Elephas maximus indicus: one gene and its partners. The protein of the gene in region 1 interacts with the protein of each later gene in a pairwise test. Links are inferred from orthologs where the notes say so. Each region holds a gene or a part of one and is shown on either strand. Other genes may lie near its edges.

What was found. The genes of interacting proteins can lie anywhere in the genome.
Region 2: the proteins of CCHCR1 (region 1) and CCDC102B interact in binary tests that used the Homo sapiens proteins (3 or more experiments, as listed by UniProt). The link is inferred for Elephas maximus indicus from reciprocal best matches to the Homo sapiens genes CCHCR1 and CCDC102B.
Region 3: the proteins of CCHCR1 (region 1) and NUTM1 interact in binary tests that used the Homo sapiens proteins (3 or more experiments, as listed by UniProt). The link is inferred for Elephas maximus indicus from reciprocal best matches to the Homo sapiens genes CCHCR1 and NUTM1.

The regions. Positions count from the first base shown.
Region 1 is NC_064819.1:91,462,716-91,470,693, forward strand, and holds the start of CCHCR1 (coiled-coil alpha-helical rod protein 1), read right to left. Parts: upstream 3,012-7,978; 5' UTR 2,872-3,011; coding exon 2,665-2,871; intron 2,370-2,664; coding exon 2,303-2,369; intron 2,226-2,302; coding exon 2,012-2,225; intron 242-2,011; coding exon 1-241. Other genes in the region: TCF19 (transcription factor 19), read left to right, coding at 4,705-4,933, 5,977-6,541, 7,085-7,319. UniProt on the Homo sapiens protein: May be a regulator of keratinocyte proliferation or differentiation.
Region 2 is NC_064829.1:76,614,869-76,622,750, reverse strand, and holds the start of CCDC102B (coiled-coil domain-containing protein 102B), read right to left. Parts: upstream 3,012-7,882; 5' UTR 2,956-3,011; intron 2,168-2,955; coding exon of another isoform or gene 2,122-2,167; exon of another isoform or gene 1,691-2,121; intron 1-1,690. Other genes in the region: protein disulfide-isomerase TMX3, read left to right, coding at 2,122-2,167, 3,173-3,227. UniProt on the Homo sapiens protein: During interphase, forms fibers at the proximal ends of centrioles to maintain centrosome cohesion. During mitosis, dissociates from the centrosome following phosphorylation to allow centrosome separation. Contributes to CROCC/rootletin filament formation.
Region 3 is NC_064828.1:23,983,175-23,990,888, reverse strand, and holds the start of NUTM1 (NUT family member 1), read right to left. Parts: upstream 3,012-7,714; 5' UTR 3,000-3,011; coding exon 2,830-2,999; intron 1,399-2,829; coding exon 1,259-1,398; intron 764-1,258; coding exon 474-763; intron 184-473; coding exon 67-183; intron 1-66. UniProt on the Homo sapiens protein: Plays a role in the regulation of proliferation. Regulates TERT expression by modulating SP1 binding to TERT promoter binding sites.

The sequences.
Region 1 (7,978 bases):
GTTCTTCCGGATGACCTCAGCCCCAGCCAGGGCAGCCCGCAGGCCCTCGGCTTCAGCTCGGCCTGCCTTCTCTGCCCGCGCCAGAGCCTCCAGCTCCATGGCCTGGGATTCTAGCCTTATCTTCTGTTGCAGTGAGGTCTCCCGCAGGAGCCGGATCTCCTCCTCAAACTGCCGCAATTCTTGCAGCTGCCGAGAGATCAACTCAGCCTGCTGGGTCAGGGCCTGAGACCCCTCCAGGGACCTTCAAAGACAGGTTCACATAGGTGAGATGTGTTTCTGGTACTGGGAGGTTGGACACAGATACTCGGGCCTCTCTGCTCCCACCCAGGGTCATAGGAGACAGGAAGAGGCAAAAGATTCCTCTGCTCCCATTGGGGTAGGCAGGGGCATGAAGATGGGCCACGGGGCCTCTGCAGAGAGGCATGAGGAATACTACACAGGGATCTCTATATTTACATCACCATCACCATTCATTGAGGCCCTGCACATATCAGGTCCACTGTCTGGGCTTATAAGAAGCCCTGGTGGTGCAGTGGTTAAGCACTCGGCTGCCAACCTAAAGGTTGGCAGGTCAAACCCACCAGCCACTCCATGGGGGAAAGATGTGGCAGTCTGTCTCCATAAGGATTACAGTCTTGGAAACCCTATGGGGCAGTTCTGCTCTGGCCTATAGGGTCACTATGAGTTGGAATTGACTCGATGGCAGTGGGTTTGGTCTGGGCTCACAGGACCTAAGGGCTAGTTGAGGTCATGAGACATACACCTAGAGAGAGCCATATATATATATTAAACATCAAATGCACACAAGGGTCGCAGTAGAAGAGGAAAGCAAGAGGTGTGGGAAACAGTGTGAATAGGGTATGCCATTAGGAAACACATTCTGAGTGGAGAGGTTGGAAGAACACTCAGAGACTTCTGAATTCTGATGTAAGGGCAAGGAAAAGTTCGAAGGAGGAGCAAAGGTATAGCACTCATGAGCTTCTAGTACCAGTACAGTAAGGCCAGGGGTTAGTTAAACGCACCTAGTGAGTGCTCAGTATATTACATGAGGAGTCAAAGGGGACAGTACATCAATAAATTACATAGACCCTACCTTTGGGGAGTATATAGTCTACTGGTGTCGTGTAAAGTTTAAACTAACTCATAACAAGGCTCTTGCGATAGCTTCCTCATTGAAGCCCAAAACCAAAAGATTTTTCAGAAGAAAATTAACTGGGCAAAGGTCTGCCACTTGGCAGCCAAGCTAGCATTAGAGGGTCTCCGTCCCCAGTCCAGGGGTCCCTCTTCTTCATTATGGTCCTTCCTCTTTGGTGGGGTCCAAGGTAGACTCATGTGTGTAAGCCCACTCTAGAGCAAAATGGCAGAATGACATTCCAGTCTATTTGGGGAAAACACACATGAAAGGTCAAAAAGTTTTACAGACAGCACATCAACAAATAGCATGGCAGCTCTAAAGCCATGTCCTCTGTAAATGCTTTCTTCAGCTACACCATCAGAATGACTCCATACCACCACAGTTGTTAGGTGTTGTCAGTCGATTCTGACTAATAGCGACCCAATGTGACAGAGCAGAACTACCCTATACGGTTTCCTAGGCTGTAAATCTTTACAGAAGCAGATCGCCAGTCTTTCTCCCTCAGAGCCACCGGGTGGGTCGGAACTGCCATTCACTTAGCAGCCAAGTGCTCAACCGCTGCACCACCAGGGCTCCTTCACCACCACAGTACCAAGTCTATACTCCTGGTCTGCACATCTTCATGCTTATTAGGATCACCTGTTGACCAATCTGTCTCCTTCCCCAGGATTTTCCATTCCTTAATATCAGGATCTCTCATTCATTTTTGTTATCCTCATCCCTAGCCTTATTATTTATGTGTTGTAGGCACCCAATAGTTGTTTATACAAACATGAACAAATTATGGAACCTAGAGCTGAAACAGGGTAAGGAATCTGTTTTGATGGACGGTCAAAGGCAAGCAAGCCTGAGAAAACGACAATGATGGATCCCTACCTGACTCTCCGCCCTGGCTCTTGCCCATCACCAGAAGCATCCCGTTCCCACATTGGCACTTGAGGTCTCAAGTTGTCTAGCCGCCTCTCTGAGACATCTTGATGGGCTGGGGATTGGACCAAGGGAATGTCTGCAACCCAGGTGGGAGCCATTCTTGGCAGAGTTGGAAGGGACCGAGCTTGGAAGTGGGATGGGGGAATTAGCCCAGTGGAACCTGAGGAATCACAAGGGCACAGATGGTCAGTTTCCCAGGGAGAGGCAATCACCAGTCCCCTGCCTAGTCCCACTGACCTGAAGGTCGCAACGTCTCCACATTATTTGAAAGCTCTAGATTCTGTCTCCAGCCATCCATGTTCCCCTGGACAATTGGAGAAAAAAGGACACTCCAATTCAATTTTCAGTCCTACTTCCAAAAAGAAAGCCCCTACACTAACAAAGTCATCCTTCCTAAATAGCAGCCAGGTCCACCCCACTCTCACCTACTCCTATTTCCTGAAAGGAGGAGCTGCAAATTCACTTGGTTGTCCCAACCAAGATCCTGACAGAACTCTGGCAATAACCCCAGAGATGGAGGAAATTTACTGAGAGACAGCCTGAGGAGGGATGCACTTAGGTTCTACTCATAATTTTAGGGTTCTCGACAGTGCTTTTACCCTCTTCCTTAAGCTTCTATAGTCCCTGCTGGTCCTGCGCATCGAAGTTATGGATTCCAAGGGCTGCGAGCCCAATCTCCAGAGTTCTCTCCATGGCTCAGCAAGGCCTTGGGGAAGCCCATCCAGGCACCACCAAGCCATGACTCCTGGGTCCTTCCCTGTAAAAGCCCCTGCCCAAGGCCTGGCCCCAGGTGAACGTGGCCACATGTGGGGCAAAACGCCTCCCCGGGATCCCTGGGAATACAGCCAGCAAGATCCCTAGGCAGAAGGCCGTCTTTCTGCCATCTCATCCAAATCCTCCCTGCAACCTTCCTCTCAATTTCTTTCTACTATGCCCTCAGCTTTCATTCCTGTTGCCCACTCTCCCCTCTCCAAAGTCCTGGAGCATACAGTTAGCTCTTCAAGATCTTTTTCCCACCATCCCACCCCAATTTATCTATTTTTGACTTAATCGGGGACCTACTCCTGTCCCTCCCTACCTCCTAATCTGTTTTTACCCTGAAGGAATTATCCTGGCTCTTCACTCTCACCTCCCAACTCATCAGTGTACTTTCGCCCCCTGCACTCCAGCCGATGCTCGGTTCTCAACCCCGCTCTCCCCAGACACCCGCTTCCCCTGAGCCTTCACCCTCAGGGCGCTAAGGCTGTTCTGACCACCTCATCTAGCCCCTGTACCTCTTGTTTCCTATGGACCCCCTAAGCCCACCCCCGCACCCCTTTCAGCCCCTTCCCGCCCCCAACCGACTCTTCTCGAACGCCCCTTACCCAGCGCGAGAACACCCCCTCTGCCTTAGGCCACACCCCCTACGCCCAGCTCCGGGGCCTTGGACTCCGCCCCTGAGTGCGCCTGCGCAGAGCGGGCCGGTTTGTGGGCCGCTCCAAAGCCAGATTTCACCCCGGAAGGAGGGGCGAAGTGTACGCAGGCGCAGTAGCGTCTAAAACTGGGTCCAATTACAGTGTTTGAGTATCTCCGCGCCCTGGTGGCTCCTCCCAACTCCGGGAACCCGGGAAAACTTGTGAACCAATCAGAAAAGGTGAAAGGCGGGAGTGCAGGGATACCAGTGCGCTGCCCAATGGGATGAAGCGAGGACAAGAGAGCTGCCCAATCAAAGGCATCAGGGGGCGGGCCCCCTCTGCGCGAACTGGAGACCCGGGAATTCCGAAGGAGGGGTCGCGTCAGCCCGCGCACAGAGGCCCGGCCCCTCCTGGCTTGGGCACCCTCGCTGTCAAACATCTGCGGGAGCGCGGGTCCGGGCCAAGGAGCCCGAGGGGTCCTGGGGCCTCCGCACAGACCGACACTGTCTGGAAAGGAGACCACTCCGAGATGTCACTGCGTGGGTAGATCCGAAACCGGGCTGGGACCCGGAGGGAAAGGGCTGAATTAGTCTTGCGTGATTGCGGGGAGCTCCATCCGCTGTTTTCATCCCACCCAGGGAAACTGGGAAGCAGGGGTTTAGATCTGCTTTGGTGAAGAACTTGGGGGACTTCTCGGGGGGTGACAGTGGATTCGCTTCCCACAGGGTTCCAAACTAAATAGTTCCGAGTGAGGATTAACCAGAAAAGCGGGATGCGGGCGAGCAGAAGGGGTACTCCATTTGGCTAAGCAGGTTTGACAGGAAGCTGCTTTTTTCAAATTACACTGAGGTGATGCGCTCTATTGCACAGAAGCAAGCCCCCACTCCCTCCAGTTGGCATTTGCCCAAAAGCTGCCTAAGGTATCATTGCTTTGCACAGATTGGAGACGTTCCGATTATTTTGCGGCCTGAGGATCCGGCTCAACTGAGGTGCCATAGGGCGTGTTCCTGTTTTGTCACTGCACCAAGGACCTTCCCCGAATTTTCCAGTTGCAAAGCTGCTGGACTGCCAATTTTGCTTTGCATGCCTAGGCTCCTTGTCCCCTGAAATTCCCCTACTCAGGGAGTGTGCTCCAGGTTGAGTATCACACTCGGAAGAGAACTTGGACCAGCCATACACGACCCAGGACCGGCATAAAGTGATGGATTCCTGAAGTGGAAGGCGTGGTGCAAAGAAGCACCGCCCATGCTGCCTTGCTTCCAGCTGCTGCGCATAGGAGGCAGCGATCTCTACACCTTCCACCCTCCCACCGGGGCTGGCTGCACCTATCGCTTGGGCCGCAGGGCCGACCTGTGTGATGTGGCTCTGCGGCCCCAGCGGGAGCCCGGCCTCATCTCCGGGGTGCATGCCGAGCTCCACGCTGAGCGCAAGGGTGATGACTGGAGGGTCAGTCTGGAGGACCACAGCAGCCAAGGTGAGCAGTGAGCAGGGCGGCATTGCCCCTGAAGGGTTGCAGATCCAGGCTTTTGACTAAGGGGCTCCATGGGGGCTCTGCCTGCCTCCAAAATCCTTGTCTGGTTGGATAGAGCTGTGGTCCAGATCATTTTCCCCCCAAAGGGGTGGTGTCAGAAGCTGTCTGTAGGGGGCTGGGAAGTAGATCCGGTGCCTGGGACATCATCAGGGGGTATGTCTGTGGCCATTGGGGGCCAGACTCAGACTGGACCGTTTCCAGGTTTGTTGAGGCACCTGTTTCCATCTTAAGTAGTTGCATTAAATCACAATTTAATAATGGGAGTGTATCTTTTTCTCCCTGACTCAAAGGTAGTTATAGTCTCAGCCTCAGAAGGCCCGGGTTCACGCCCCAGTTCTGCCACTGGCTCCTGGTGAAACCTCAGGCCTGTCACGTCACCTCTCTGGGTCTTAGTTTCCTCTTAGATAAAACTAAATAGTAAGGCTTAGTGGGTCTGCTTTGGTAGGTGTAAGGATTAGATAATTATTGTAGCTAACACTCATTTAAGACTTCCTGTTTGAACCAGACACTGTTTTAAGTGCATTGAGTGTAGGGGGGCATTAATATCCCCATTTTACAGATGGGGAAAATAAGGCACAAAGAGGTTAAGAAACTTGTCCAAGAGCACAGAGTTGGTAAGTGGTGGAGCCAAGATTTGAACCCAAACAGCCTGGCTCCAGAGCTATGCTGAGATAATAACTGTACTTTGAATTGGAGCTGGGTGAGAGAGCTTCCACTGAGATGGAGGCATGGACCTCAGAGAGAGGAAAGGAATCAGCGTGGAGAGCACAATAAAAAAAAACTTGTTCCCAGCTCACAAGCTGCTTACTATCTGGTGTCACCACCTGAGGGGCTTAAAATATGAGGGAGGGAAGAAGGACAACAGCATGTCATATTCCTCCTGATGGGCCCCAGAAAATCGAACAGGTCTAAATTTCTCCACTCCTGACTCTGGTCCTTTCTTTTTTGTCACTGTCTGTATCTGTCTGGTGCCCCACCATCAACAGGGACCTTAGTCAATAATGTCCGACTCCCAAAGGGTCACAGGCTGGAGCTGAGTGATGGTGACCTCCTAACCTTTGGCCCTGAAGGGACCCCAGGAACCAGCCCCTCCGAGTTCTACTTCATGTTCCAACAAGTTCGAGTCAAACCTCAGGACTTTGCGGCCATTACCATCCCACTGTCTCAGGGAGAAGCAGGGTCCGGGGGTGGTTTCCAGCCGATGCTGCCCTCTCAGGGGGCTCCACAGCGGCCCCTCAGCACCCTCTCCCTTGCCCCAAAGGCTACACTGATCCTCAACTCCATCGGCAGCCTCAGCAAACTCCAGCCCCAGCCTCTCACCTTCTCCCGGGGTGGGGGTGGGCCCCAGAGCCTACCCCTTCCCACTCCCCCTGGGGAAGTGGGGACCACCCCTTCTGCCCGAACCCCAGCCCCCAGAAACCGGAGGAAATCAGCTCACCGAGTGTTGGCAGAACTGGACGATGATGAGAAAGGGCCTGAGAGCCCCCCGCCAGTCCTCATGGAGCCCAGGAAGAAACTGCGAGGAGAGAAAACCCCACCGACACCCATCGGGTAAGTGGAGAGGCCTTCCGATCATGTCTGCCTTCCAGCAATATTTCACTGCTTTCTAATTCTGTTTCAGAACCCCAGGCCCTGAAGAGGCCTTCTGCTTGGGGGTGGGGATGGGAGGTAGTGGGCAGAGGTGGAATTGATGTTGGAATGGCAAGACCTGGGCTAGCTCTGCTGACAGAAACAATATATATACAGGACACAGCAAGAGTTAGGTGGGATGGGGGCAGTGGTTTTAAAATAGATCAGCACAGAATTCCTACTTTTACATTCAGACATCTTCAACCCCACTCTTCTAGTGCCTAAGGATGGGACATTTCCAGGCTCACCCCACACATTTTCAGGGACTGTTTCTAGATCCACCCTACAGATTTTGAGGACCGTTTACAGGCTCACATTACAGATGTCTTACCAAGAGTTTATCTAGATTCACACTACAAGCCTCCAAGGAGTTTCCAGGTTCACCCTGCAGTTACCCAGATTTCGAGGCTTCTCCTACAGTTTTCCAGTGACCCTCGTTTTTGTGTCTTCCCCTCAACTTCCTAGAAACCGTCGTGGGCGTCCTCGGAAGCACCCAGTGAGCGCCCCCATGGCCCCCCCTGCAGTTGGGGGCGGGGAACCCTGTGCAGCTCCCCGCTGCTGCCTGCCCCAAGAAGAGACAGTGGCCTGGGTTCAGTGTGATGGTTGTGACACCTGGTTCCATGTGGCCTGTGTTGGCTGCAGCATCCAGGCAGCCAGGGAGGCAGACTTCCGATGCCCAGGATGCGGTGTTGGCATCTAGGCCTAAGGCCCAACAGAGAGGACAGAGCTGGGGCCTCCAGGCCAGGGGCATTAACAGCAAGGTGCACATGGATCCTAAGAGATGCCCCCTTCTTCCCTTCCCTCCCCAGGAGGGAATGATGCCAGGGAAGAGCCCATTGCCATGGATACTGAATTCAGGGACTGGAGCAGGCGCTCATGGCCAAAGGTGACAGAAGAGATGTTTCCTGCCAAAGATACTGCCTCCAAGAAGTTGTAGCCAGTGGATTGCAAATTCCCATTGACAGGTGGTAGAGCTTGTTGCCACGGACACCAGAAAGTCTGGGACCACAGCATCCATCAATTGCAAAGGCCATGCCTGGGAAGATATCATAAGCCCCAGTATTGGACAAGTGGGTTTCTTGGTGTCCTTTGATGGTATCACCTAGAGGATTCCGGGAAAACCTAGGACCTGGCCCCCAAATTGCCCTATACTGTGGCTAGTCCTACCCCTGGCCATGATCATCATAACCTAACTTTTGAGATCTTTTGGACTTTCTGCTTCTATTTCCAAATAAAAAAACAAGCAATTTCATTCATGTCTGGCTCTTTTAAACCACTGCCATTAAAATAAGGTAGTTGGGATTTGGTTAATTTCATGAGGACGGCAAAACTTTTACTGCCTTCACCAGCACCACCAGG
Region 2 (7,882 bases), on another chromosome or scaffold:
AGTAAATGCTCTAATATATACAAGTTCACAACAACAATAACATCAAAAAAACTGTGTGTGGTTACATAGGCAGATACGTATGCAAATATGTGTATAGAAAGGCATATGTGAGTAAACGTACCTGCATGTATAGGAGTATCTGTAGGCATTTGTGCGTGCTGGATTTTTTTTTTTTTTTATATAATGAAGCACATAAGGGACACAGTTATGGAAGCTTCCTGAGCATATCCAAACAACTTGTGGGATTGGTTTACTGGGTTAAAAGCAAGGCTTCAAACTGGTTCATTCCAGTTTGAACCCTACTGAGAATTTACATTTCCACCCCAGGTATACTGAATCAGAATCTACATTTTAACAAGAACCCCAGGTAATACTCATATAATAAATCTTGAGAACCACTGCTCTGCTAGTGATTCTCATAATTGGTCCCTAACCAGGAGCATTAGCATGGCCTGGGAACTTGTAAGAAGCCCTGGTTAAAAGACTTAGGACCATAGTCTAGTGGGACAAATCAGTCAATTGGCATAACATAGTTCATAAAAATAATGTTCTACATCCTAGTTTGGTGAATAGTGCCTGGGCTCTTAAACGCTTGTGAGCAGCCATCTAAAATACAACTATCGGTCTCAACTTGAATGGAGCAAAAGAGAATGAAGGAAACCAAAGGCTCAAAGAAGAAACTAGTCCATAGGACTAACAGCCCACAGGAACCACAGCCTCTTTTAATCAGAGACCAGAAGAACTAGGTGGTCTCCGCCTACTACTACCGACCATTCTGACCAGGGACATAAGAGGTCTGAGACAGAATCAGAAAACAATTCAGAACAAAATTCAAATTCCTAAAAAAAGGCCATACTTACTGGACCAAAAGGGATTAGAGGAATCCCTGGGACTGCTGGCCTAAGATACCCTTTGAACTTGGAACTGAAGCTATTTCTGAAGGTCACCTTTCAGCCAAATAATAGATTGGCTTAATAAAAAAAACAATATTATGCATGTATAATGTGCTTCCTCGAGCAATCAACTATACGAGACTAAATGGTCGACATTTACCCAAAAGCAAAGATGACAAGGCAAGGAGGGGAAGGGAAGCTGGATCAATGGAAACAAAACAAACAGAATGGAAATAATGAGAATGCCGACATATTATGAAAATTATAACCACTGTCACCAAACAACTTGTATAAAAATTGTTACATGGGAACCTAATTTGCTGTGTAAACTTTCACCTAAACCATAATAAAATATTATTAAAAAAAAGAAAATATAGAGGAAAAAAATCATTACAAATGATACAGGCCATTTTTTTCAGTTTTCAAGAGAAACAAATTTTAAAAAACGGACTCCTTTAGTTAGCAAAAATTTATTAAAAGAACTTAAAAAATGCCCAATTTTGGAAACAGGTTCAAACAGCTTCCAAACACGTTTTGGAAATGTAGGCAGTGTCACAGAACCCGGTGATCCAGGGCCCGTTTTTCTCCCCACACTAAGGCGTGCCTCTCTTCACGAGTGTGATCCACCAACCAACGCACTGGTGGGCTCACTGAACAGGTGTAGCAGGTAAATGAGCAGGCGAGATTCAACCTCAAACTGCGTTTTCGAAGCCTACCTCATCCTCAGTACAAAGCTTAGTATTAATTTAAGAATTTGTATTTCAGTTTTTCGTCTCCCCTTCACACACACACACACCTCTTCGCCCAAACCGCAAGAAGCCCGCGCCACCAGGTTCCCATAGCCCCCAGACGCGGCCAAGGGCACAGACGCTCCGCGATAAGGCGACTGCGCGTGCACGTCATCTCGCGATTGCAGCCCGCTAAACCAAGCCCAGAGGGGGCGAGAACGGAGGCCCGCCAGCCCCGCCCCGCCCCCCGCGCAAGCCCAGAGGAGAGGCTGGCCGGGTCCACTAGGGAGCAGAGGCTCGCCCGCCCCGCCCCCGCGGTCCGCGCATGCTCAGAGGCAGGGCCGGCGGGGTCCGGGAGAGAACAGAGGCCGGGTTGCCCCGCCCCCGCCTTCCGTGCCCGGCTTCATTCCGCGTTCGAAGGGGCCCGCTTCCCCTTCCGGAGAGCGGCGGCCGGCGCCTGCGTCTGTCCCGGCCACTGCGGAGTCGCTACTGCGGCGAGCATGGCAGCTCTGAGCAGTGCGACCGCCTTGCGCCTCTGCGCCACAGGTATGGCCGCGCGCGAGACAGGAGAGCCGGGGATCACCCCTGCGCCGGGGGTGGCCTCTGGACTGGGGGTTACCTGCGGGGTCCGCGGGGACGTCTGCGGGCTCCCGGCCTCCCCCTTCGGACCCCGCGCAGTCCTGCGGCGTCCTGACACCTTAGGGTCCTCCACCCACTCGGCATTGCAGTGCATACCCGGTGCCAGGCCCCAAAAGATGCGCTGTCCCCCAGGAGATTCCCTGTCCTCGTCTTCGTCTTTTGTGGCAGGGGTACCGTCGCCCTGGCTTCTCAGACAGGCGAGCAGGTGACACTTTCCCAACGTGTGGCCACATTTTGCTTTGGCTTTTTAGGGGCCAAGTGTTGTCGTATTTGGAGGGTTTTCACCATCCATGGGCAAAGGGAAGGATGGTCAAGGACAGATCACTATCAGACCGCTGGAATTGTGCAGTGACGGCGACAGCGGTGTGGTGACCCTTTTGGGCCTCTTCCTGCCGGCCTCCCTGCGTTCACTTACTCAGCAACCATTTGTTGCCTTTCCACTATGTGCCAGGCACTGCTCTGTCATAAGTACTAGAGTGGTAGCTCAATTCTGTTTCTATCTAAATATTAAAAAAATAATAATATTTTGGATGGCACTTGAAGTTAGAAGTACTAAGGAAAGGGGAGAAGTATAGAACAATTTCTGTCTCTGCTCCGAACAGGTGGAATGCTAAAATGGAAAAATAGGATCAGAGGAAAGATATGTTGAAAAAGAGCTTTTATATTTTGAATTTACTATCATACGTAGGACTTACCTGTCACAGGGAAATTACGTTGCAGAATAAATATCTATCAAACAAATGAACTCCTTGTGGTTTTCCTTCACTTGTACCCCGGGATGAATCAGTGATAGAGTTTCTGGTCAGAACATCAAAAAAAAAAAAAAAAACGTTTTATAGATGACTAAGCGTCAAGTGTGAACGAAATGATAAATCAGAAGTATACATTTAGTCTCTTCTTTCTGTTTTTCAGTTATTTTTCTTGACATGGCTTTTGGTAAGAGTGTGGTGCCAGATTTAGATGACTCGTGAGTATACGTATTTTGTTTCAATAGTATTTTAATTTCTAATTCTGTTGTTAACCTGAATATTTACATGTTCACATCTTAATAATCTAATTCTAATCTTAATAAAAATAATAGACACTATGCTCATATATTACCGATTTTATCCCAGGAGTTCTAAGTGCTGTTTATATATGAGATAGGGTTATGCTCAAAAGAGTTTTACTGATATTTACAAGGTCAAAAACGTGGCAGACCTTTCAATATTCTATATTACCATTCTATAGCACCTGAGTGAGTGCCGGAATTTGGGACATACTATATCTTTTACCCCCACAGCATTAGTCCCAAGACCTTGCTTATAGTAGCTGGGGAGCCTAGCTCCAAGCCAAAATCCTGTATGTACTCTTTCAGGCCTGACCATAAGCAGTTACTGGCAGGCCTCATGGGAGAAGCTGCGCTGCCCACACCAGACGAGTTGCACAGCTGGTGCCCTGTGGTGTCTGGAGGGAGTTGTAGTCAGGCTCTCAGGACCCCTCCCCCCATAATTGCCAGCCATACTCATATGCATATCTGCATTCTTAGCCCAGGCACCTCCATTTGTTACTTGTTACTTCCCTTCACTTTGACCTTCCACCCTCAGGCCCCCCCCCCCACCCCGCCCGCCCAGTTCATGAAGAGGAGAAGCCTTTTGCTTGTGGCTCCTCGGCAGCAAGAGGATTCCCCATCTGCGCTGCATACTTACTCGGGTGCTCTGCGTGCAAAATTGCGTCCAGTGGTTGCTGTTAGCTCCCAGCACGTCCTGGTGCCAACAGACCTTCTTCAACACAGCAAGTTATTGAATCTCAGGCCTTCAGTAAAAAAGAATGTAGGGCCTGTCAGGATCCCTTTGCCCAGCAGCCTGAAGAGACCTTAGAGCCTCGGTTAGTTGGCTTCCATAATGAAGAAGTTGATCTTGTTAAACTTAGTGAGGGAGTGGTGCCTTGTAGGGCATGTCATTACAGACCTCTTTGCAGATGCACTGACAGGAAGCCTTAGTTTGCCTAAGGAGGAGGTGGCTAGTGAGAGGGCATGAACATCGAGACTCTCCTTCTGCAGCTGGGTACTGTTTGGGCTCTGATAGGTCTGTCCCACCTATGAAGAGTTTCCTGCCACTGAAAAACATGTCTGGGCCACCCTCTCAGACTATAGTGTCCCTGTGAACCACCCTGGTGGTCCGTTGGGTCTATAATGAGGGATTGGGAATAATTGGGTCATGAGACTGTTAACCTGACCCAGATTTCTAGGTTTTTCCGTACTACTCTCTCTGGTTACCTGGCCCAGTTAAACCTCCTCATGAGGTCAGGTCATTTGGTCCATGATACAATCTGAATCTTAACTGACATTCCCAGACGTGGAAAAAATGGCTACTGCCAAGATAGCAAAGATCGACCAACAGAAGAGTGGTAACCAGGTGCCTTTTCCTGGGCAGCCCGGCCAAGGGCCTTCCTGAAAAGACTCAGTCTAGTTACTTGAAAATAGGGGTCTCAAAGGAGGAGATTGATAGGCTTTCTGCCAAGGAACTACTGGCCAAGTACTTTGATATGGAGGTCTGACAGGCAGCTTCATTAGTATCTGCCCACTGATAGTCCCTTGTGGCTAATACAAGTGTTGTCCCCAGTGGAGTTGGAGACCCCTGCCAACTTTACTTGGGTGTCATGAATTGAATTGTGTCCTCCCAAAAATTCTTGTCAGCTTGGCCAGACCGTGGTTCCCGGTATCATGTGGTTATCCTTCATTTTGTGATCTGATGTAATTATGTGTTGTAAATCTTAGCCTGTGGGGAAACCCTGGTAGCATGGTGGTTAAGTGCTGTGGCTGCTAATCAAAAGGTCAGCAGTTCGAATCCACCAGGCGCTCCTTGGAAACTCTATAGGGCAGTTCTACTCTGACCTGTAGGGTTGCTATGAGTCGGAATCGACTTGACGGCAGTGGGTTACGGGTTTTATGCTTATGGTTATGGTCCCATTTTGGAGTAGAGTTGTCTACTATGTTAATGAGGCATGATTAGGTTATATTAATGAGGATCAAGGTGGGATGTACCACCCTTGCTTGAGTCACAGCTTTACCTTACAAGAGATAAATGGAGAGAGAAGGAAACAGAGAGGAGGGAACTCCTACCACCAAGAAAGAAGTACTGGGAGTGGAGCACATCCTTTGGACCTGGGGTCCCAGCACTGAGAAACTCCTAAACCCAGGGGAAAATTGATGAGGACCTTCTCCCACAGTGGACAGAGAGAGAAAGCCTTTTCCTAGAGCCAGCACCCTGATTTGAGACTTCTAGCCTCCTAAACTGTGAGGGAATAAATTTCTGTTAATACCATTCACTTGTGGTATTTCTGTTACAGAAGCACTAGATAAACTAAGACACCGGGCCTCTCATCTTTAAAAAATACACAAGACTAGGGGTTAGCTGGAGGTTCCTTTGTCCTCAAGGGGCACCAGAGGTCTTATGCCAAGATCATAGTTCTGAGAGAAAATTGCAGTTCTTGGGCCTTTTGGATACTGGTACACAGGTGAGTGTGATCACTGCAACTCCTGGCACCAGCATGAGAGGGAAACAGATCATACCATCAGGTTTTGAGGCCACTGCCACTGATACCCTGGCCTAAGCCCAAGTAACCTTCAGGTTCTTGCATACCTGCGTTTATTGGCCACTCTGCTGAATATATTACTGGTATTGATGTATTGTCAGGGCGCAGAACTACTCACCTTCACTCTTAAGCCCTGATGGGAATTATTGTAGTAGGGCCATCTTAGTGGGGCATGTGGAAGACTGTAGTCCCCCTGGCACCTGGGCGGTACACATGGTTAACTGCTCGACTACTAGCTTTACTGCTAGCTCAATTACTAGCCCCCACAGAGGCGCCTTAGAAGACAGACTTGGCAGTGTGTTTCTGAAAGGTCACAGCTTTGGAAACTATATGGAATGGTTCTACTCTGCACACATGGGGTCACCATGAATCAGAATCAACTCAATGGCAACTAACAACAACAAAACCAATGTCCAGTGCAGTTGTCTCCTAAAAATAGTATCAGCCACCTGGAGGAGAAAAAGATAGAACCTTCCTCATTGCTGAGCTTAAGGAAGCCTAGCCTGTCTGGCTTGTGCAAAAGGCCTTGGGTGCCTGGACTCTTTCCATTGATTATAGGCACTCAGTGCTGTAGTCCCACCCTTGGCACCAGTGATACCTGATATTGTGATTGTCACAGAGGCTGTCACCCAAGCTGAGAGAACTTGGTATTCAGCAGTTGACATCACAATTGCCTTTTTAGCATAACCTCTCCATGGGTATGAACAGGCTTGATTTGTCTTCATTGCAGAATGGGTTGCAATCCGCATTAAAGGGTTCTTCCACAAAACTACCTGAATTTCCCAGCTGTCTGCCAGCAATGGGTAGTCCATGATTGGAAAAAGTCTCACTCCCAGTGGGAGTACTAGCCTTGATGACATCTTCCTGGTGGACCCAGACAGTCATCACCCGATAAGGGCTGGAGGTCCTGATGACACACATGCAGTAACACAGCTGGGCCATTAACACAGGCAAGGGACAAGGGCCTCTAGTATGCAGGTGAAATTCCTGGGCATAATGGAGTCACAACGACTCGTTCCAGAGAAGATTGTCACACTTTTGGCTCTCTCTGCCCTAAAAAATAAAAAAGAGGCACAGCGATTTCTGGACCTATTCAGCTACTGGCATCCACCTACTGGGCTGTTACCTTTAAGTGGGGCCTGACCAACAGGGCACCAGGAGTTCTCTCCAACACACCCACCTGGATCCCCTTCCTTTGGGTCGCACCCATCCACTTTTGCTGTTTGACTTATAGGTTTCAGCAGCTTCTCAGATTGGAACCTGTGGCAGAAAATCATTGCCACAGGCCAGCAGTGCCCATTGGGCTTTTGGACCTCTGAGTTCCTGGAGTTGACTGAAAGATATACACCTTTTAACAAACAATTATTGGCCTCTTAGTGGATGCTGAGAACATGAGCCATGATCATGAAGTAGTCATACAACCAGAAATCCCAATCAAGTCAGTCTGAGCAGAGGCCTTGGATTACTGCATTGTGGCAGTTCAGGAATCCTTTCCAGTCTCAGGAGTGCCCCTACCCGTCCCAGGCGTATTGACCAAGGATCTGCTGCCTCCACTGGCCCATTAGGGACCCAGATATAGAGACCTTCCAGACCACACATGGGCCTGGTTCACTGATGGCTCTGCTAGATTAATTTGTACTGGGGTGAAATGGGGTGCAGCTGCCAGTTAACCTGAGAAAGACCTGCCCCTTACTGAGTGTGGTAAAGGAAACTCAGCATGATGGGCAGATTCATGCAGTATGGATTACTACTCTGGCTAACCCAACAAAGGAGCTCTGCTGTATTTTAACTTACTCATGGGCTGTGGCTGTGGCCTGGCCATTTGGTTGGGCCACTGGCAAGCCTTAGATTGGTGTGTAAAACAAGCCCCCTGTGGGGACAAGACATTTAGATAAAAATCAGCATTGCTCCTAGTAAGCTTTGTGTTACACATGGGAATGCTCACCAGAAACAGCGCTCCACTGAGGAAGGGAAAAATAACCATCAACCAGGTTGCACCTGTCAGCTAAAGGAGGAGACTGGCTGTCCTTGGCCCTAGAGCAAATA
Region 3 (7,714 bases), on another chromosome or scaffold:
ACAGTGTAGCCTTAGATGAACTCATGTGGGCGTCTGGTTCTGATGTTCCCTACCTCCCTGGTTTACCTGAGCAAGAGTGAGTCCTTCTTCTTGCTCCAGCTCCTCAATTAAGGCCAAGGGGTCTCTGTGCTGTTCTGGGGACAGCAGATCTGCTAGAAATTGAGGGTGAATGATGGCCTCCACCTGGGGAACAGAAGGAGCATGATGTGAGAATCTTTTGATGGGAGATAACCTGTGAACCTACAGGTTCTAGAAAAGAAGCCATGAGCTCCCCACTCCCCAACCCCTGCTATAAACCATCACCACCAGGAGCTACACATAGTCGTGTGCATCCTCACACACACATACACTTCTCAGGAGTTACAGAATACCGCCTAGTCCCTAACTGCTTTGGGAAGAACCCCAGATCTTTGATTCCCATGAGTGCACACCACCATGATGTACTAGAAACCAGACCTCCAGACACAGCCCACCTTGGAAACAAAGACTTCCTGAGAACACAGCTCATCGATGTAGCTCAAGAGATCCGGATCTGGGTACATCCCTTCCTCCTCCTGCTGCTGCTCTTCTTCCTCTTCCCATTTTCCATCAGACTCCCCAGTGGCTGAGTGGCTCCCCAACAGCCCTTCCATGATGTCAGTGTACTCTTTCACTGCTTCCGGTGGGATTTCCTTGGGTGCCTCAGGAACTGGAGGCTTCTGGGACTTGCGCTGCCGCCGGCGAGGGGCCCGCGTCTTGGAGACTGCCTTCTTTGGAATGTACACTTAGGAAAAAGGTGGGAAGGAGAAAGGCAAAGTGGCATGGAAGCTACAGCTTCTATCTCCCAGCCTTGTTTGGAAGGGCAATCTGGGTGCAATGAAATGGTTCCAGGCTGGGTCGGGCCAACCAGAACACCAGCCATGGGAGAAGACTTAGGAACTGGAGGTTTTCGAGAGAATCACAGAATGAGGAATCTTGGAACTCCAAGAAATCCCCTAATCCAGCCCCCATTTTTTCGACAGATTAGGTATTGTGGCCCCATTTGACATTCAAAGGAAGAGTAGCTAGTTTACTTGGCCAAGATCAATAGCTAGTTGGGGACAAAGGAAACCTGAGAACCCAAGCTCCTAGGGAATGTCCTGTTGGAAACAAGCAAATACCACTCCCTGGAGGAAAAGTGGCAGAAGCGAGAGCAATGCCTTCCCTAATCCGACTGGTTTCTGCACGCCTCCCTTTGAGCCTCTGGCCTACAGCTCCTTGTGGAATTGGGTAGCCATACCTGGCTGCTGGCAAACCTCAGGGGCTGGGGGTGCTGGAGGATCGAGTTTAAGAGGGTCTGCAGGAGGCAGGCATTGGGTCTCATTCAACAGCTGTGCATTCTGAATCTGCATCTCTTCCTCAGTCTCAAACTCCATGAACCTGCAGAGGGTGAGGAAGGCACGAGCAGTGCTGAGAAGGCAGCCAGTCCCATGAGGAAGCCAGACACCAGGCAGCAGCCATACACAGGACAGGATGTATCCTGAGTTGGACAAAGTCCTGCCTAAGTCACATCACCCAGAAGGGAGCTGTGCACAGGTGACTGAATAACAGTTCACGGGCAACCTCACATGGTCACCATATGGTCCCTTTACTTGCAGTCATCACTTAGGATGCTTATTTAGAAAATGATCTAGTGCTTGTAAGCTTCTCTAGAACAGAGGGTAGCTTTCGCTTTCTGTGCTCCATCTCACCCAGCATCATAGGTGGCTGCCACCACACTAAAACAGGTTCACTGCATTAAACCAACGGGGGACAGCATAGCAGGACCCCTCCGCTCCTTAAGGCCTCATCTGCCCCAGCCTACAACCACAAAAACCCAAACCAAACTCACTCCCATGGAGTCGATTCCAACTCACAGCAACCCTATAGGATGTGGTTAAACAGCCCCACAGAGTTTCCAAGGCTGTAATCTTTACAGAAGCAGACTGCCACATCTTTCTCTTGCAAAGTGGCCAGTGGGTTCCAACCACCGACCTTTCAGTTGGCAGCCGAGCTCTTAACCACTGCACCACCAGGGCTCCTCACAACCACAAAAAAAAAAAGGATGGCTGAAATCCTGAAGATGGGCCCAGGGCTGCAATTCTAGGCAGTACCCACCAGGAGGCAGTGCTCAGATCCAAGAGTCATGAATCTAGGACAAGGGCTCTGGATGGGTAAAGCCGGGAGGATTTGGTTCAGAAGAATTTTGGGAGAAAGTGGAAGCTAAGCCTGGAGGAAAGGATTCATTTTCCTCTGAGTTATTTTTTTTTAACCAAGGAGATTATGGGGAGAGAAGAGCCAGGAGACCACTCAGGGCTCCAAGGACCTAGCTTCCCCCTAACCAACTTTTTCCAGACCAGACCCTCCCTGGGAGGACGAGGTAAACAATTTTATGTGCCACTATTTCCAAAGGAAGTATGGTCCCAGGTTCTGCATCCATAGCCACTTGCTACCTGGACAGTGAGAAAGGAAGAAACCTGCTTAGTACAGCTCAACTCCTCCTGGCTAGTTCCCTCTGACAGCATGGGATTTTTACACCTATCAGGCTCCCCAACCCCATCCAAAGACTTTCAATCTCATAGAGACTCAAGACCTGGAAGAGGGGGAGTTTCCAAGGGTAGACAGGATGTAAAAACAGGAGCAAAGGTGGTAGAAGAAGCAACGTGAGGGGAGAGAATAAAGCCTTCCAGGATCCAGGAGCGTGTCTCCTTATCTACGCCCTTCTTCTAACATCCTTTTTCATAATCACCCAGACACCAGCTTCTCTTCACAGTCCCCATCGCTCTCAGCCACACAGCCCCCCTCAGGAGAACGAGGGTTCGTGGGACTCACTTTTCTGCCATCTCATAAAAGATCATCCGGTCAAAGTTGCTGGTGCGCTCCCACTCCTGGACAGCCCTCGGCAGTCCCTCCTCCAGGGTCATGGTGGGCTTCAGCCGGGCCAGGGAACGAAGCACTGGGCTAAAACCCCCCGTTAGGTCAGTCTTATTCTCCAAGTACATCCTCCCACCCACCTCAACGCACATCCCCGGCCCTTCATCAGACCTGACATGCCCTGCTCCTGTCACGTCCCACACCCAATGACACTTCCAGACTCCCCACCCTCCCATCCATTCATTTTACCATACTCTCCTCTCTTCCAGCTGAAATGTGCTCGCACACAATCAAACAGATGATTCTTCTCCCCACATTCTGAAATCAACCACACTGCCTCCACTCCCAATTCTCACAGTGCTGTCCTCCAACGTTAGGAAGGAGAGAGCACTTGTGTTCTTAATGAGAGTCACTACAAAGTAGGTGTTAACCCTGCCCAGAGGCTCTTGAATTTTTTAAAAAAGGAACCTGAAGGAATCTCTCATTAAAGGTTGTGTGTGTTTTTATGTGTTGATTTTTAAGTGTTTTTGCCTCCTGGATACCCTTCACCGTCGGTCAGGTATCCAGATATCCATACTAGACCTCCCACTCTGGAAGGCTGCTGAGCCCTTTCTGATCTAGAAGAAATGGAGAGGCCAGCCTAAGGTAAGGGCTTCGTTTTTGCCTCTCTGACTTTTCGTGAAGTCCTCACACATTATTGTGCATCAATCAAAATCGCCTAGGGAAGTTCGTTACAAATATGGATTTCAGCAGCCCACTCCCATGATCCCAAAAGTGAGCATTTTACTAGCTTCCTAGGTGACTGTTTCAGAGCATCTGGACTACACTTTGGGGAAGACCCTGCCCAGAGCCCCTAAGTGTGGGAGCAGGAATAGGCAGGCCAGGACCAAAAGTAAACAGGTCCCATGCAAACCATGAGGGCCTGTGCTGGCTCAGGATTCAGAAATCCAGCCTTCCAGGCTCTGGGAGAGAATCCCAGGTTGGCTCGAGAAAGCAGGGAATCAGTGATATTGTCTAAAACTGGGATTTTGGGGAAGTCTCTTGATTTATTCATTCCAGGGTCAGGTGGAGGGAGAGGTTCCTTTAGGAGTTCAACCACTGCGGAAGCAACATGTAAATTCTTTAGAAGTCCAGTAAAATGTGGTATGCGTTCTAGAGTTGTTTATACAAAATGTTGAAGGCACAGTGCAGACCCAAGAGAGGCAGCAGGTCTGGGTGAGAAGCACTGAATACTCCCCAGATGACCAATATTTCTGCTTTATAAATGTAACATGACCCTGGACTCTTCTGCTAATCATTTACTCACACATTCACACTCTTGGCAAGGATATTTTGGTCTATTTTAAGTTCTTTTCCTCTTCTATGTTGCCTTTTTATAATAATAATAACAGCTACCATTTAATGGAAGGCAGTGGTTGCTTAACAGGAGACCTGGGCTCCATTCCTGGCCAATGCACTTCAAGTGCAGCCACCACCCACCTGTCAGTAGAAGTGTGTGTGCATATTGAACAGGTTTCACGGCAGATCCTCCCGAATAAGACAGACTAGGAAGAAAGGGCTGGCAATCTACTTCTGAAAACCAGACAATGAAGACCCTATGGATCACAATGGTCCAATCCCACTGTGAATATGGTCACCATAAGTCAGGGCCAACTCGACAGCAGCTAACAACAACCATCTAACCTAACTTAACCTGTTGCCAGTGAGTCGATTCCAACTCACCGTGACCCCATGTGTTACAGAATAGAACTGCTCCATAGGGTTTTCTTGGTTATAACCTTTACCAAAGCAGATAGCCAGGCCTTTCTTCCACGGCATCACTGGGTGGGTTCAAACCACCAACTTGTAGGTTAGTAGCCCAGCCCAAACTATTTGCGCCACCCAGGGACCTACAACAACAACCACCATTTAACCAGGCATTCACTTTGCTAAGCACTATAACAAACACATTTAATCTTCTCAGCAGCTATCTGAGGTAAGTATCATTATCCTCTTTTTAAATGAGAGAACTGACAGTTAAAGATGTTAAATGCCCTGGCCAGGATTACAAATCTAATGAGTAGTGGAGCCCCTGACCACTAAGCATGCTCTAAAAACCAAAACAGTTGCAGTCGAGTCAATGCCAACTCACGGTGCACCCCATGTGTGCCAGAGAAGAGGTGTGCTCTGTCAGGTTTTCAATGTAGATTGCCAGGCCTTTCTTCTTAGGCACCTCTGTGCCAATCTTTTGGCTAACCATTACACCACCCAGAGACTCCCAGCACACTCTACCACCTCCCTAATTCAACTTGAATTCTCCTGAATAAAATGGGGGCAGGTGAGGGTAGGTACACACAACGTTCTTTGCCTGGCCCTGCACTGTCCTTTCTTCCTGCAGGAATGGGTCATGGCCCAGCACTCCTTGTCCTGGCCAGTTGGGAAGCCTCAACTCATGTTAAGAGGTAGCAAAAGAGAAAAGGAGGATCACGGCACTTGTAGTCAGAGACCTAAATTCAAATCATAGCTTTTCACTTTATGATGTAATCAAAGACCTAAATTCAAATCATAGCTCCTCCCTTTATGATGCAGTCAGAGACCTCAATTCAAATCACAGCTCCTTGCTTTCTGATAGGAAACCTCTCTGAGCTTGAGTCTTCTCTGTATGTAAGGATTACGGTAAAGTTGCCTGCCTGAACTCACAGGTTATGAGGGCCACTTGACAGAAGATACCTGAAAGCATGTTATAAACTGGGAAGTGGGTTAAGAGGCTTATTATCATTATTATTATTGTGCTTTTATCTTCTCATAGCATCTGCATTACCCTCATGACCTGCCTTCAAGTACTCTTAGATAAATAACCTAATCACCTCACAGTCCTCCGTATTTAAAAGCCCTAGGATAATTAATATCAGGCCTCCCCACTTACATAAGAAAGCAGGAAAGAGCTTCTGCATCAGGACTTTGGGATAGGTGCCTCCGGGCCAAGGCTTTGTAGCGCTGCCAACGTCTGAAATTCTCATAAACGCCCTTGGAGGTATAGGAGAGGTCACCCAGTGAGGGCTTGGATGGGGCAGCTGCAGAGCCTCCTTCCCCGGGAGCCCCATGTGGCCCTGGCCAAGCCTTCTCCACGGGGACGGTGGGGGCCAGTTGGGCCGCTGGTGGTAGAGCTTGAGGAAGAAGGCCTGGGGGCCCCTCCTGGCTCACCCCAACAGTCTTAGCAGGCAGAATGTTCTTCACATTAGAGGCTGTCATGAATTGAGGTGGAGGACCATCAGGGCCCCCGCGAGGAGCACCTGAGGCAATCCAATTGAGGGCAGTATGAGTAAGGATAAAGTTCTGAGTTTGAGGGGACTCAGCTGGCCCCCCTTCTGTCTTGACTTTGACAATGACCTTGCCAGCCCCGGGCCCACTGGAGCCAGGGCCCCCATCCCCTGTCATCAACAGTCGGCTGGGGAAAGCAGACAGCACTAGAGGGGTGCCTGGAGAGAAGGCTGAAGGCATGGAAGGCCATGGGGGTGGCTCCCAGGGTGGCTGGTCTGGTGGGCCTGGAGTAGGTGGCGGAAAGGGAAGGGCAGGGAAAGGAGACATGGCAGCGCCAGGTTTCATGGTCATATCCGGTCCTGACAACGGAGATGCTGTTGAGACAAACAAAAAGAGCGGATGGAGTAGGAGAGAGGGAGACTGGCATTAGACCATCTGGGTCCCCCTAAATCACTAAAGAACCAGAGAACTGATTCTCAACAGGTGGGGGAAGAGGCATGGACGGGGAACTTATGTAGTTTGCAACTGCCCCCACAAGTGATCTGGATGTTCTTTACTCCCAGCTGAGAATTACTACACTAGAGAAATTGTTCCCTTTCCAAAAAGACATGGAGACCCTTATTGGCCACGAAGAGACAAGCCCAAGCCATCACTGCCTGTGACCTCCTTGCCAGCCCCATAGGCTGTTTGCCAAGACATGGAACAGGGTTGACACCAGCTCTGCAGAGGAAACAGCCCAGAGCAGGCTCACAAGCGTGTAAGAGACCTAGTCTAGAGAGGTTCTGCCCCTTCTCCAGGTACCCACAGGGCCCTTAAGGAGGCAGTTTCAAAAAGATTATTAGCCCTATCTCCTCCTCAGTCTTCCTTTTACCTTATAAATCTCCCCTCTCTTTCCTGACCTAAAACACAGAAGAAGAAAGATGCAATCGACTAGCAGGAGCAAGGACCCTTGGACCCATGAAGCTTACACCCCATAACACATCCCACCCAGCATACATGTACATCTGCTATTCCCCTCCATTCCAAGCAGAGATTCAAACCTGAGCCCTGCTCCCAGCTGCTCTGTGGTCCCTGCCACCACTCACAGAAGTGCTGTTACCAGGAGAGGTGGTGTGGACTAGATATTTGGTTCCCAGAAATTTTGTTATATAAATCAAGAATGATTAGAGAGAAAATGGGGGGGGAAGTATAGAACCAAACCAAACCCACAGCCATTGAGTCGATTCCCGACTAATAGCGAGTCTGTAAGATAGAGTAGAACTGCCCCATAGGGTTTCCGATGAACCCTGGGGGATTCGAACTGCCAACCTTTTGGTTAGCAGCTGTAGCGCATAATCACTACACCACCAGGGTTTCCTGGAGGAATAGGGAGGGAGCTCTAAGTAACTGCTGGGAAAGTTAAAATTTGGCAAAGGACACTGTCTGTGGTTCTTCTGCTTTGAGCTCCTAATAACCTAGAAATTTAGGGCCCACTAAGACCGAACCGTGTGCAAAGGGAAGGACCATGAAGCCTGGAACAGAGTTCCTGCTCACGAGGAGCTCATGTCGACGCTAGTCAAGGGGACCAATACACAAGATGTGTACTTACTCAGGATGTGTGTCT